Cricetulus griseus: one gene and its partner. The protein of the gene in region 1 interacts with the protein of each later gene in a biochemical or structural test. Links are inferred from orthologs where the notes say so. Each region holds a gene or a part of one and is shown in the gene's direction. Other genes may lie near its edges.

Region 1 (6,094 bases):
TTAGCATACATTTTTGCTAATGCTTTAAACACACATTTGTTATTATTTGAAATTTTTATAGATATGTACAATTATTTTGATCATATCCACCCCTCATTCCACCCTCAGTTTTCCCCAGGACATTCCAGCACATTTCCTTCTCAACTTCACATGTTCATTTTATAATTAATTAATGTATTAATTTAAGCCACAGAGTCCAATTAGTGCTGTCCAAATGCACATTGGTGTTGTGTCATCAATTGGAGCATGGGGAATATACCAGTGGCTGTATTTCTTTTTTTTTTTTCATTATTCTTTTTTTTTATTAAATTATTAATATTTTCACATGTACTTTCCCTCTCCCTCTCCCTCCCCCCCCCATTCCTTCTCCCCCACCTCCAACCTACCCCCCACCCCATCCACCCGCCACTCCCCAGGCAGGGTAGGGCCCCCAACCAGGGCTCCACCAAGTCCACCAAATCTTCCTGTGCTGGGCCTAGGCCCCTCCCCATGTGTTCAGAGACAGAGCGAATCCCTTCAAGTGGGATGGGCTCTCGAAGTCCCTCCCACCCACCAGGACAAAACGCCAGTCCACCTCCAGAGGCCAGTGGCTGTATTTCTAAAGAAAGAGGATTCTTCCTTATGCAACAACGGTCAACTAACTGCCAATAGCTTCTCAACTGGGGCATGGGGCTTCATGAACTCCTCCTTCTACCTGCTGGAATTTTAACTGGTTGGATATCATGCAGGTCCTATGTAGATAATCACAGCTACTGCAATTTCAAGGGCATCATTTCACATCACTCTTCCCTCTCTCTGGATCTTTCTGTCCCCTCTCCTATGATGGTCCTGAAAGACCCCCGGAGGCTCAGGCCCCCAGGATCTTCGTCCAGAACTGCAACGACCCCAATCACCAGGTGGAGGCGGAAACTTGATGCAAACAGCACAAGGCTTCATTGCAGTTGTTTAACGAGCTAACTCCATGTTAGCACGGGACTTTCATCCATCCACCATGGTTGATGGCTAGGAAAAACAGCAAGAAGCCACTGCATAAAGATCTTATAGGGCAGCATAAGGGAAGTGTCTAGGGGTATGCACAGGCTCAGGATTGGTGTGCCTCCAGGCTTGCCCTGTGTTGATTGGTCAACTGGTTGTTATGGCCCATAGGCCCTCCCAGGGTGATTGCTATGCTCTGCATGTCATTGCTGTGCACTTGTCTGTAAAGCACATCCAGAGCCGTAAAGCATAGCACCACCAGCTAACTTCTGATTGGTTCCTGGTCACACACAAGGCAGGCATCTGACCTCCTAGTGACCAAGGCAAGGTCAGGCAAGCCTGTTATGGCTGCCAAAATGGGTAGCTAGTCCCTTCATTCCCTGAGCCTTAGAGGAGGGTTTATATTGATGCTCCGTCTGTGGTTGAGCATTCACAGTAGCTTATTCTCACCACTTTGCACAGTAACACATCTTGGCATTAACCACTGCCCAACTGCAATAAGTCTATTCTCTGGCCAAGATTGGGAGCAGCACATAGCTATGACTATAACATAAATATTTAGATGGCCATAGCATAACATGACCATTTAGAAAAAAACACATCAATACTAGGTGTATTACTTCTTTAGTCATGGCTTTTGACCATGATTATAGTACAGTCATGAATTCCCTTCAGAGGAGTAGGCCTCAAGACCTATCAAGGGAATGGTTGGTTACCCCCACAGACAATCTTTTATTACTATTACACCAATGAGCATGTCTTGCCTGGAGGATTGGTATTAAAACATGTAGGGGCCAGCACTCCATGAGATCATTGATATATTTTCTTCTCAGCAGCCTACCTAGCAAGCACCTTTCAGAAGTGTGAAAGCTGACCAACAGGGAGAGTTTCCTGGACAGTTTAATTTTTATATCTCTGGGTCCTGAAACAAGAGTGGTGTCTTCAGCAATAGGATCTTACCATCTAGTTGAGGTGGGCAGCCAAGAGCCATGGTAATAGCCTGTACTGTTCTTGGGCCTCTCTGAACAATAACTCATAGGGAGGTAACTCATAAAGTCCAATGACTACTATTCTTAAGACACAGACAAATGAAGAACCATACCAATGACAATGTCTAATGAAACCAAGACAAAGATATTACCATGTGATGTAGCAAGTACTCTAATGGGGGAAAAAGAGTCTTGAGTATGTGGGTGAAATATGAGCTGAGCTTAAATACAGATGTCAGGCAACCCATGTGAAGACCAGAATGAGGCAGGTATGGACATAAGGAAAGAGGGATATCATGTGTGACTATAGATGTGTTCCAAATTAGTGAAAGAAAGCCTCACTTGTCTTTGAGGGCTTGGAATACAGTTCAGTGCTAAAGTGCTTGCCTAGCATGAGTAAAGCCATAAGGTCAATAAAAAGGGGGGAGGAAGGAGTTGGGTTACTTTTATCCTGAGGGTTGGAATGCCAATGAAATGCTTTAAGCATTTATCACAGGAATATATGATTCATTTATCACAGGAATATCTTGATGACAGTCCTATGGGGAAGGATCCCATTTGAAGAACAGTTCTATAAGAAGTTAAGGCATTGTCAGACAGGAAGTGAGAGGGGCAGTGGGGGAGGGGAGTGGTAAATTCCAAAGATCTTTGGGAGGGGCTGGGCCAAGCTGATGGGAGGTGAGAATGTGAGTCAGAGAAAGGAGGCTAATGCAGATTGCCTATGTCACATGTCGTAAGAGAATGGTGACTGTTGGGACACTGAGAGAAAAACCTATCCAGACATGTTCACCTGATGAGAAAGTCAGGAATAAGAGCCTCAGCAGGGAAAGGGAGACATGAGGACCCATGAAGGACAAGAGGCTAACAGGGAACACGGTGAGCTGTGGGGGTGGAGAGGGGGCCAAACCAGACAGGGCCTCTAGGTGCATACTGCCAGGTATGGGAACTTGCTAACCAAATCAAAAGGGTGGAGCCAGCAGGAAGGGAAGGGAGCATTGTGGTGTTATTGAAAGCCATCCCTGTGACCACTGTGACCTTCAGGATCCCTTACCCCACTCAAAAAAAAAAAAAAAAAAAAAAAAAAAAAAAAACTGGTCAAAACAATTCATCAAGAATGAAGAAAAATTGTTTCGCTTCTTGAATCTTCTATTTTAAACATTTTATCTTTTGTATTTCCTCATATTTCCAACCAAATGCTATAGTTATAAAGCAGTGCATGCTTTGTTGTGAAAAGATAAATTCTAGATAAAACAAATTAAAGTTCAAGGGGGGGGATCATAAGTCAGATATTAATCCTCCCATGTAGCCCCCCTCTCATTCTCTTTCAGATTCATAGGTGTTCTTTTTTTCCATTGTTGCTACTTATCTATATTTCTAAATACATAAATACAATCTGCTCAGTCTGCATAATACTACTTATATGTATATATCTCAGGGTTGACCATTTGGTATTGGATAATCAATTTGTGTTTTCCCTGGGAAAGACTTTCTCCTGCTCTCAGCATTCCATAGTGACTTGTCGTTCTTTGTGTAGGGTGAGGTCTCATGAACTTTTTTCTGTCCATGTTGTTTTTTTCTTTAAAGATTTTATATATATATATATATATATATATATATATATATATATAATATATGTGTGTGTATTAATTTATATAATTAATATATATATAATTTCACCTACCTGTGTTAGGACACCATGTGCAGTACCCATAGAAGCCAGAAGAGGGCAACAAGAGCCTCTGGAATGGAGCAACCATAGGCAAATTATGAACTACAATGTAGGCACTGAGAACTAAACCCAGGTCCTCAGGAAGAATAACCAATGCTCTTAACCACTGAGCCCTCTCTCCACCCCCCTCCCGATCTCTCAGTTTTAAGTCTTGTTCTCTGATGCAAATGTATTTCCAAGATCTTTAAAAGCTTTAAACTCCAAAGCTGCCCAGAAAGTTTCCCAGCTTTCTGGAGAAGCAAAATAAAGAACAGATGATAAAAATAATGCTGAAGTTAGAAGAAAAGGCAGAAGATGTTAGAGGAGAGCTACTGGTTTTTTGTTTGGGGTTTTGTTTTCACACATTACATAGGAGCCAATCGTGCATGGTGTGAGTTATGATGTTTCTCTTTATGCAGAAGTTTTGAGGTAAGGAAGAGGAAATGACCACAAAAGTCAAAGAAAATCAGCAGAACCCATGTCTGCTCTCCACTTCCACATAACCCACTTTCATCTTCATTACCAGTGAGTCTGGGCATCTTATAGCCAAACACAGCAGAGAGTAAGCACAGTGGAGGAATATGTTTCTTTGACAAACTATGATCTGAACACACTTGGCTCACAAGCCAAGCACGTAGACGTCGTGAGCTTTCACTGAGACATTCATTTGAACATCATCTGCTACACATTAATCTTGGCGGTGGAAGGGTGTGGCTCGGGCTGCCATACACTCGTCTTTTCAGAGCATTAGAGGGGAACGCAGTGCTATCAAACTACACTCAGATCCCTGGGACAGAGGAACCCATTGATCTTGGGCCAGGTGATTGCATTCTCAAATACATCAGTAAAGGCTTTCAATGCACACACAGTGGAACTAGTGTGGTCACCAGCACCATATCACCACACTTGAAATATGACTCCCTTGGCCATTGGTTTCCAGGTTGGTTAACCTATTTCAAGACTCAGGATATCAACTAAATTTTTTAATTGAGTAGAAATGTTATCATTTCTAAAAATTAAACAGCAATAATTTGCATGAAATAGCAATAATAAGTTCTACTTCTAATGTGGAAACAGAGAAACAAGCATATGGACAGGTAACAGGAGTGAACAGTAATCACTTTCCTGGTCAGATGGAATGGGCACAAGTTAGAGGTGAAATTTAGCTGGGCAATAAAGAGGGATACTGATATCCTAAACAGGCATTTGATCCTGGGAGTGATAATGCTGGGAGTAAAAAGGTTCCCCCACTTCCACTACACACCCTCCCAACTTACTATCTCTTCTATACCAACTTGTGGTCTATAATACAGCAGCACAGGATCATCATGGCTCAAGTTTCCTACCCCAGAGATACAGACAGTCATCACTTGCTTAAAACCACTCCTGTGGGAGTGGGAACCCTGAACATTTAGTAACATGTTCAGAAGTACTTAGGTGTCACCTTGGATTGGGTGGCAGATGGGAGGTCTGATGTTGACTTGAGAAAACTTTGAGTGATTTTATTTTTATCTAATTGCTCACATTTCCCTGTGGCTTATCAAAGATTTCACTGGGAAGTAACCACAAAAATAATGAAAACCGTATATAGTATATCAGTATCTTTCTAAAATTATTTTGTGTATGGTGTGTGTTTGACATGTATGTATGTCACAGGTGAGCACATTCCCTGGCATGCGTGAGGACACCTCTGGTGTTGGGTGTCACCTTTCATCTTGCTTGAAATGTGGTCTCTTTTCCATTCAGCACTGGGTACACCAGGCTTGCAGGACTACAAGCTTCCTAGCTTGCCATAGGAATGTTAGGATTGCAGATACGTGCCTTCACACCTGGCTTCACACACACACACTCAGAATCTCTGAGTTCTGAGGATTTCAATTCAACTTCTCATGATTGTATGGCAAATGCTTGACCCACCAAGGGTTTTCCCAGCCCACCAGTTTCCTTTTAAGACTTAATACAAGTAATCCTTTTCAACTCTACTTTCAGATATGACTATCTCAAGAAGGATTATAGGTAACAAAAACCATGCTCTTTGTGGTGTGTCGTCTTTCTTGATGGAGGAAGAAATGCTAGGGCTACGTGTTATCCTGAAAGACTCACCATGGAGATATTCTCCCTTTTCCTTATTGACTATGCAAACAAAAACCATTCTCAGACTGCGACAACCCAGGAGGTGTTAAAACACCACCCTGATTGGATGTATTGTGAAGGTAAAGATCCCCAATGGAGTCTATAGAGGGGCATCAGTCCTATGAGTGTAGCTCTCAGTTTCCTTAGAAAGAACAAGAAGAGGATCCTCTTTGACAACTGAGGGGGAGCACAGAGGGAAGGGCTAATTTTAACTTTTTTGTTTGTTCATTTTACAGTTCTTTTCAAACTGTAAGAGTTTCTTGTTTTGAGAGATGTTGGAAATAGGCCG
Region 2 (6,243 bases), on another chromosome or scaffold:
GAGCTCTGACTTCCATCAGGACAGTCAATAACCTTCCAAAAGTCCCACCTTTTAATACTACCACATTGGTGGCTGTGTTTCAGCATGTGGATTTGGGGGAGACACAGGCATTCAAACAGTAGTGGTGTCCTAAGCAAATGCTCACAGACAACAGCAAGTAAAAAACTAGAAGTAGAAATACAGTAGACAAAACTGTCCACACAGTGTGCCCTGACTAATAAAATATCTATGGGCAATAAGGAAGAAAAGGTGTGGAGATGTATTGATAAAAGGAAGAGCCTGGGAAGGGTCAGGTATTAATGGCAGAAATCAGCAGAGGGTTGTTGAAGTAAAACAGGGATTAACTCAATGTAACCAGAGAAGCTGGGCATTTCTGTGGTCTTGCCTGGCTAGGACAGTCATTTATGCTTAAATGGTATATGCAGATAATTTGGGGGTTCTTCTTAGAGCAAAAGAAACCTGGAGTACTAGCCAGTAAGTCCATGGAATTAATTCAATTAATTAGTTAAAATTAACATTTTTGACCTATCTTAATCCTTTTTACCCACAGACCAAAACAAACACCTCAACTGTTTTCTTGGGTGCAATGCCAGTTACAGGCAGAAATGTATCCATTATTCTTCTCAGAAATGCGAGTTCTGCTTTAGCGGTTCAAATTCTTTCACACAATATCCCCTCTAGGAACACTTTTATTGGTATTTGGTTGGTGGAATTGTTTTCAGCAGCACTGGGTCATTCATCTTGCCTCCAAATAAAAGGTTGATTGAAGCAAACTTTTGAGTTTTAGAAACATATATCAACAAAGAACATTTGCAACTGTTAGCGGCACTGACTGAAGTATTTTCCCCCCAGAGTGTCAGGAGTGTTTTTGAGAAAACAGGAAGAAGCCACATTTATCTTTCAGTCGTTAGGAAAAAAAAAATGTGACCCTTAAGATGTTATTCTTCTCCAAATAAACAAAATAGTGACTTTGTAAAGGGACAAGGTCAGAGAATTTGGGGAAAATATCAGACACTCTTACTAGCCTTGAACCAGGAGGTCTGGGCCCCTCCTGGCAGGCAGCCTTAGCGCATTAGTGGGTATTTGCTGGGACATGATGACCGTATTGTGCCTCCAGTGTGGTACATGCCTTCTACTCCCTTGTCCCAGTCCTTTATTTATTTATTTTTTTCTTTCCTGTTCTGACTTCCTTGCACAGATGTCTGAAACCTGAGGGCGTTTTCCTTTTAGGGCAGGTGTGAATTTTAATGTCTTTGCCAAAGCTGTGTTTACCTTTTAAATATGAGATTTAAAGCAATCGTGTGTTACTGTAGTGCACCATACTATGTGTTTATGAGTGTGCCTTCTAGATGAACATTGCCGCCTTTCTTTCCCCTCCTGACCTTGTTTAGCTCTTCAAGTTTAAATCTCTTCATTCTCTGTAACTCACCTCTGTCCCTGACCTCCAGAGACATTTGTGAATGTCACTCCTACGCTCCGCACTTCCCTTTTTGGTAGCTCCTGTCATAATTCTAGTTGTGCATTTGACTGTCTGTCCTTTGCTCGTGTGTGTCCTGCTCGTTTTCCCGGTGCCCATTGAATACGTGATGAAGAATAGAGGCATTTGTGTGTGTCATTGTTTATGGCAGGTGGCTGGCATCTTTTCCTATGAGGACTTGAGTGTCACATGGTATTGCTCACTCTCTAGCTGAAGGCAACTGTTGGGCAGACCCCATGAGTGCCTCATCCTCCTTATTGACACTGGATATTGCAGTTGCAGAGACCCCAAGGCATCTCGATCTGGCAGCTTTTTAAAGAAATTGAGTGCCAAATGTCAAATCCAGGAGCTTGCATATACACCAGGCAAGCTCCAGTCCCCACAAAGAGCTCTTGTTAGCAAATCTGTTATCTACTTAATGGGAAAACCTACTAGCAGAATGGTGACTAGAGAGAGGTGGGGCATTGCAGGACAGCTTGAGATCTCTTTCCTATCTGGCATCTTCGAGACGGCTTGCCCAGGCCCCTTGGGTTCTCACCGTGAGAAGCTCCACCTTCTCAATCAAAGAGTGAAGTAGTTTCTCTAATTTCTTTCCTTAGTGTTTTCATATCAGGATTTTGCTGGAGGCTGAACGCAATATCAAAAACACAAGCCTGCATGTAGCCCTTCCTTCTGACTTCTTGTTTTCTTGGCTCTATATTTCACCTAGAAAGCTTGTGGGTGTATCTGTAGAGTGCATTCTAAATAAACAATGAGATCAATGGCAGAGGTCATCATTGTGTCTTTTTACTTCTCCAAGAAGATGCTGATTGCAGGTAAAGAAACAAACACTTCACTCCTGAAGTATCTAAGGAAAGGCTTTCTCATAATTAATCGGAAGGAAAACTAAAACAGGACAAGTTTTAAGAAAAGAATCAACTCATCCTTAGCAGCCTCGACAGGGCCGTAATTATAACCCATTGGTACATTTCCGCATATGGAGTAGGCAGGTATTTTACTTACAAGAACTTAGTAAGGACCAATATCAACTTTACCTCAGTAAAACTGGGTGGAGGAAGAATTTAGTAGGTAAATTCAATGATTTCGTGTGTGCGTGTGTGTGTGTGTGTGTGTGTGTGTGTGTGTGTGTGTGTGTGTATGTGTGTGTGTGTGTGTGTGTGTGTGCACAAGTTCATATCCATGTGTGTTCTACAAGAAGAAAGTGAACAGTTTGACTTACCACATCACATAAGATTTCTTTATCATCACCATCATCATCATCATATACTACAGGAGACTGAACCCAGGCCTGAGCAAGGTAGGTAATACCCTATCACTGAGTAATATCTCCAGTGCCTTTTGTATTTTTATTTTGAGAAAGTGCATCACTGAATTGCTAAGGCTGGCCTTCCACTTTCCATCCTCCTGCCCCAGCTTCCTGAGTAGCTAGGATCATGGGCTTGTGCCATAGGACCCAAACATAGCATCATCTTTGCTGCCCACTTCCTGTACCTGCCCATTGGAACCCTACCCTGTTAAGGACTATGTGAAAGCCAGTCAGGTCCTCTACCACTGAATGAATCCAGGGTGGGGAATGGAAAGTAAAGGGTCTCTAAACCGTGAGTATCTCAGGGTTTACACTGATTTTTATTGTACTATTTTTTTCTATTCTGAAACATACAACTTAGAAATAGACACACATCTAGAAATACAAATAAGATGGTAAGAATAGCTGCCGTTCCACCACCTGGTAGTGACCTCTGCTGAAGTTCTGATGCTCATCACAGTGCCCAACCGGAGTGTGGCAGTGACTCTAAAATGAATGCACCGAGCCCTATATTTTAACTTTCTAGTTAGTTTGTGTGTGTGTGTGTGTGTGTGTGTGTGTGTGTGTGTGTGTGTGTGTAACTTTCAGGACTTGATTTTCTCCTTCCACCATAAGGGACACAGGAATTGCACTCCTGTGTTCAGTCTTGGAAGCTAGCGTTTTTTACCCATCTTGCTAAATAATCAGATTTAGCGCATTCAGATTACATGGTTTACAGCTTTTACTAATTGAATTTTTGTGGAAAGTTTAGGTTTACATGAATATTAAACAGGTGATGCCAAGTTCCCTTAACCCTTCTCTTTCCTCCACTTTCTCTTAATTAGAACATTTTACGTCTGTGTGGTGTTGCATTAGTCAGGGTCCTCTGGAGGAACTGAACTGATAGAATGGATCTATTTACATGAAACGGAATTAATTTACTAGAATGGTTTACACGCTGTGGTCTGGTTGGTCCAACAGTGCACTTTGCCAACAGAAGGGCCAAGAATCCAGTAGTTTTTCAGTCCATGAAACTAGACATCTCAGCTGGTCTCTGGTCTGTGTTGAAATACTGAAGACGGGGGTTCTAATAACAGCAAAGGAACCTCTCAGCTGCCACATAGCTGAACTTGATGGTGGGAGAGAGGGCAAGCAGGCAAAATGAAAAGCTTCCTCCTTCCGTGGCCTCTTATGTGGGCGGCTACCGGCACGTGTGGCCCAGATTTAGGGTGGGTCTTCTGACCTCAAATGAGCCTGATTTAGGGTGGGTCTTCTGACCTCAAATGATGAGATGAAGACAATCCCTCACAGGCATGCCCGACTGCTTGGGTTTTAGTTGATTCCAGATGTAGTCAAGCTGACAGCCAAGATTAGCCATGACAGGTGCTTTGGTTATGTCTAACGTACCAGCATCATCACATACCTAAAACCCACAGTTCATTCAGTTTTCCTGATTTTACTTAATGCCCTTTTTCCATCTCAGGATCCTATCCAGGATACAGTCAGGTCTTCTTGGGTGCCTCACAGCTGTGACTGTCTCCCACACTCCCTTTGTTTTTAATGAGTGTAACCTTTTGAGGAGTGCTGGTCAGGTAAATGTCAGAATGACCCTGTATTAGAATGTGTCTAGCATTCTTCTCAGGTTTAGACTGGGTTACAGGCTTAAGGGAGGAAGATCACAAAAGTATCATTTTCACCACATTGCATCAAGGGTCCACACTGTCGGTGTGATTTATGATGGTTGATGTTGAACCATGAACACCTGGCTGGTGTCAAGTTTCTCCTCTGTGGAGTTGCTCTATTTCCCCTTTCCTTTCTGCAGTCTTTTGGAAGAAAGTGGCTGTGTACAGCCCATACCCAAGGATTGGGAGGTATGTTTCCTTTATCTTGGAGTAAAATATCTACATAAATTATTTTGAATTCTACACTATAGATCTGTCTTTTACTTCCCATTTGTTAATTTACTTAATTACTTATATTACTTATGAACTTAAGAGTATTTATTTATAATTTGGGTTATAATTCAAGATTATTTTGTTGTTGTTCAGATGTTTTTTTTTTTTTTGTCAAGGTCTTACCTTGTATCCTTGTCTGACTTGAGTTCTATCTCTAGTATAAGTGTGAGCATGCACTACACACACAAACACATAGACAGACACACCCACAGAGACACACACACACACACACACACACACACACACACACACACACACAGATGTGGACCCAGACACACACACAAACACACACGGACACACACACAGACTTGCACAGGCAGACACAGACACCCTCCCACCCCCCACCCCGCCACACACACAGCACCATGGATGGTCATTTTACTGACTCCTCATTTCCGAGTCTACTTATGTCAACACCTTTCCTTCCAGTGAAGCTATTCCATCCATCTGTAGGATGGTTATGTCATGACAGTCTACATTTGAGATCTTCCAACCTAATTGAGAAATGCCTCTATAAAATCCAGCTGTGGGTCATTTTCTTTCTTCTGTTTTTGTTGTTTGTTTTTGTTTTTGTTTTTTCGAGACAGGGTTTCCCTGTAGCATTGGAGCCTGTCCTGGAACTTGCTTTGTAGACCAGGCTGGCCTCGAACTAACAGAGATCCATCTGCCTCTGCCTCCCTAGTGCTGGGATTAAAGGCATGCACCACAACCGCCCGGCTACAGACAGGTGATTAATCAGCTTTGGGATCACACGTATTGTGTTACAAGCGTTGCTGTACCCAGGTTTTACTTGGGTAGCAGAATTTGAAATCAGGTCCTTGTGTTTGAACAGAAAGCATTTTACCTACCTAGCCATCACTCCAGTCTCTCTTTTAAATTTTTAATCAAGACTTAATAGAGCTAGAGATATGGGAACAACAGAACACTTGCCTAGAACACACAAGTTCCCAGGTTCATCAGCACTGACAAGAGGGAGAGAGCAATGGGACATATTGTTCTATAAAAAGGTCAGTTGGCTTCAAGTACTTGGAAGCTCAGTTACTGGGTTCATATTCTTTTGTAATTGTTATGTCTCCCAGTGATGTGGCCCTTTTGTCATTTTGAAATAACCTTCTTTATCTCTGGTATTTTCCCCTGCCTTGAAGAATACTTTGCCTGACATCACTGCGGCAGTTCTGACTTCCCTAGTCTTTCTGTCTGTCTTGCTGATTGTTTCCCATTCTTTTACTTCCAGCCTTCCTGTGTTTTAATATTAAAGTGTATTTCTTGTAGACAACATATAATTCAGTCTACAGGTTTTAGTATAATATCTTTATTCATTCCTTGAGAATCTCATGCATTCATGCAATGTATTTTGATCATATTCACTGCCTTCCTCCCCCTCCAACCTCTCTCATATCCCAGCTACATCCGGTTCAACGTCATGTCCTCTCAACCCACCAAGTCCAGTTTGTCCTACTCAGACACTCATGGTATGGGACATCCCCTGGATCTTGGTGAATCTACCAGGGGGACCATACCATACC

What was found. The genes of interacting proteins can lie anywhere in the genome.
Region 2: the proteins of Fyb1 (region 1) and Skap1 form a complex in vitro, tested with the Homo sapiens proteins (2 studies listed by BioGRID and IntAct, with this or other methods). The link is inferred for Cricetulus griseus from reciprocal best matches to the Homo sapiens genes FYB1 and SKAP1.

Annotation. Positions count from the first base shown.
Region 1 is NC_048595.1:340,307,059-340,313,152, forward strand, and holds the start of Fyb1 (FYN-binding protein 1), read left to right. Parts: upstream 1-2,700; 5' UTR 2,701-2,810; coding exon 2,811-2,840; intron 2,841-6,094. UniProt on the Homo sapiens protein: Acts as an adapter protein of the FYN and LCP2 signaling cascades in T-cells. May play a role in linking T-cell signaling to remodeling of the actin cytoskeleton. Modulates the expression of IL2. Involved in platelet activation.
Region 2 is NC_048600.1:109,634,103-109,640,345, forward strand, and holds the start of Skap1 (src kinase-associated phosphoprotein 1), read left to right. Parts: upstream 1-2,237; coding exon 2,238-2,292; intron 2,293-6,243. UniProt on the Homo sapiens protein: Positively regulates T-cell receptor signaling by enhancing the MAP kinase pathway. Required for optimal conjugation between T-cells and antigen-presenting cells by promoting the clustering of integrin ITGAL on the surface of T-cells.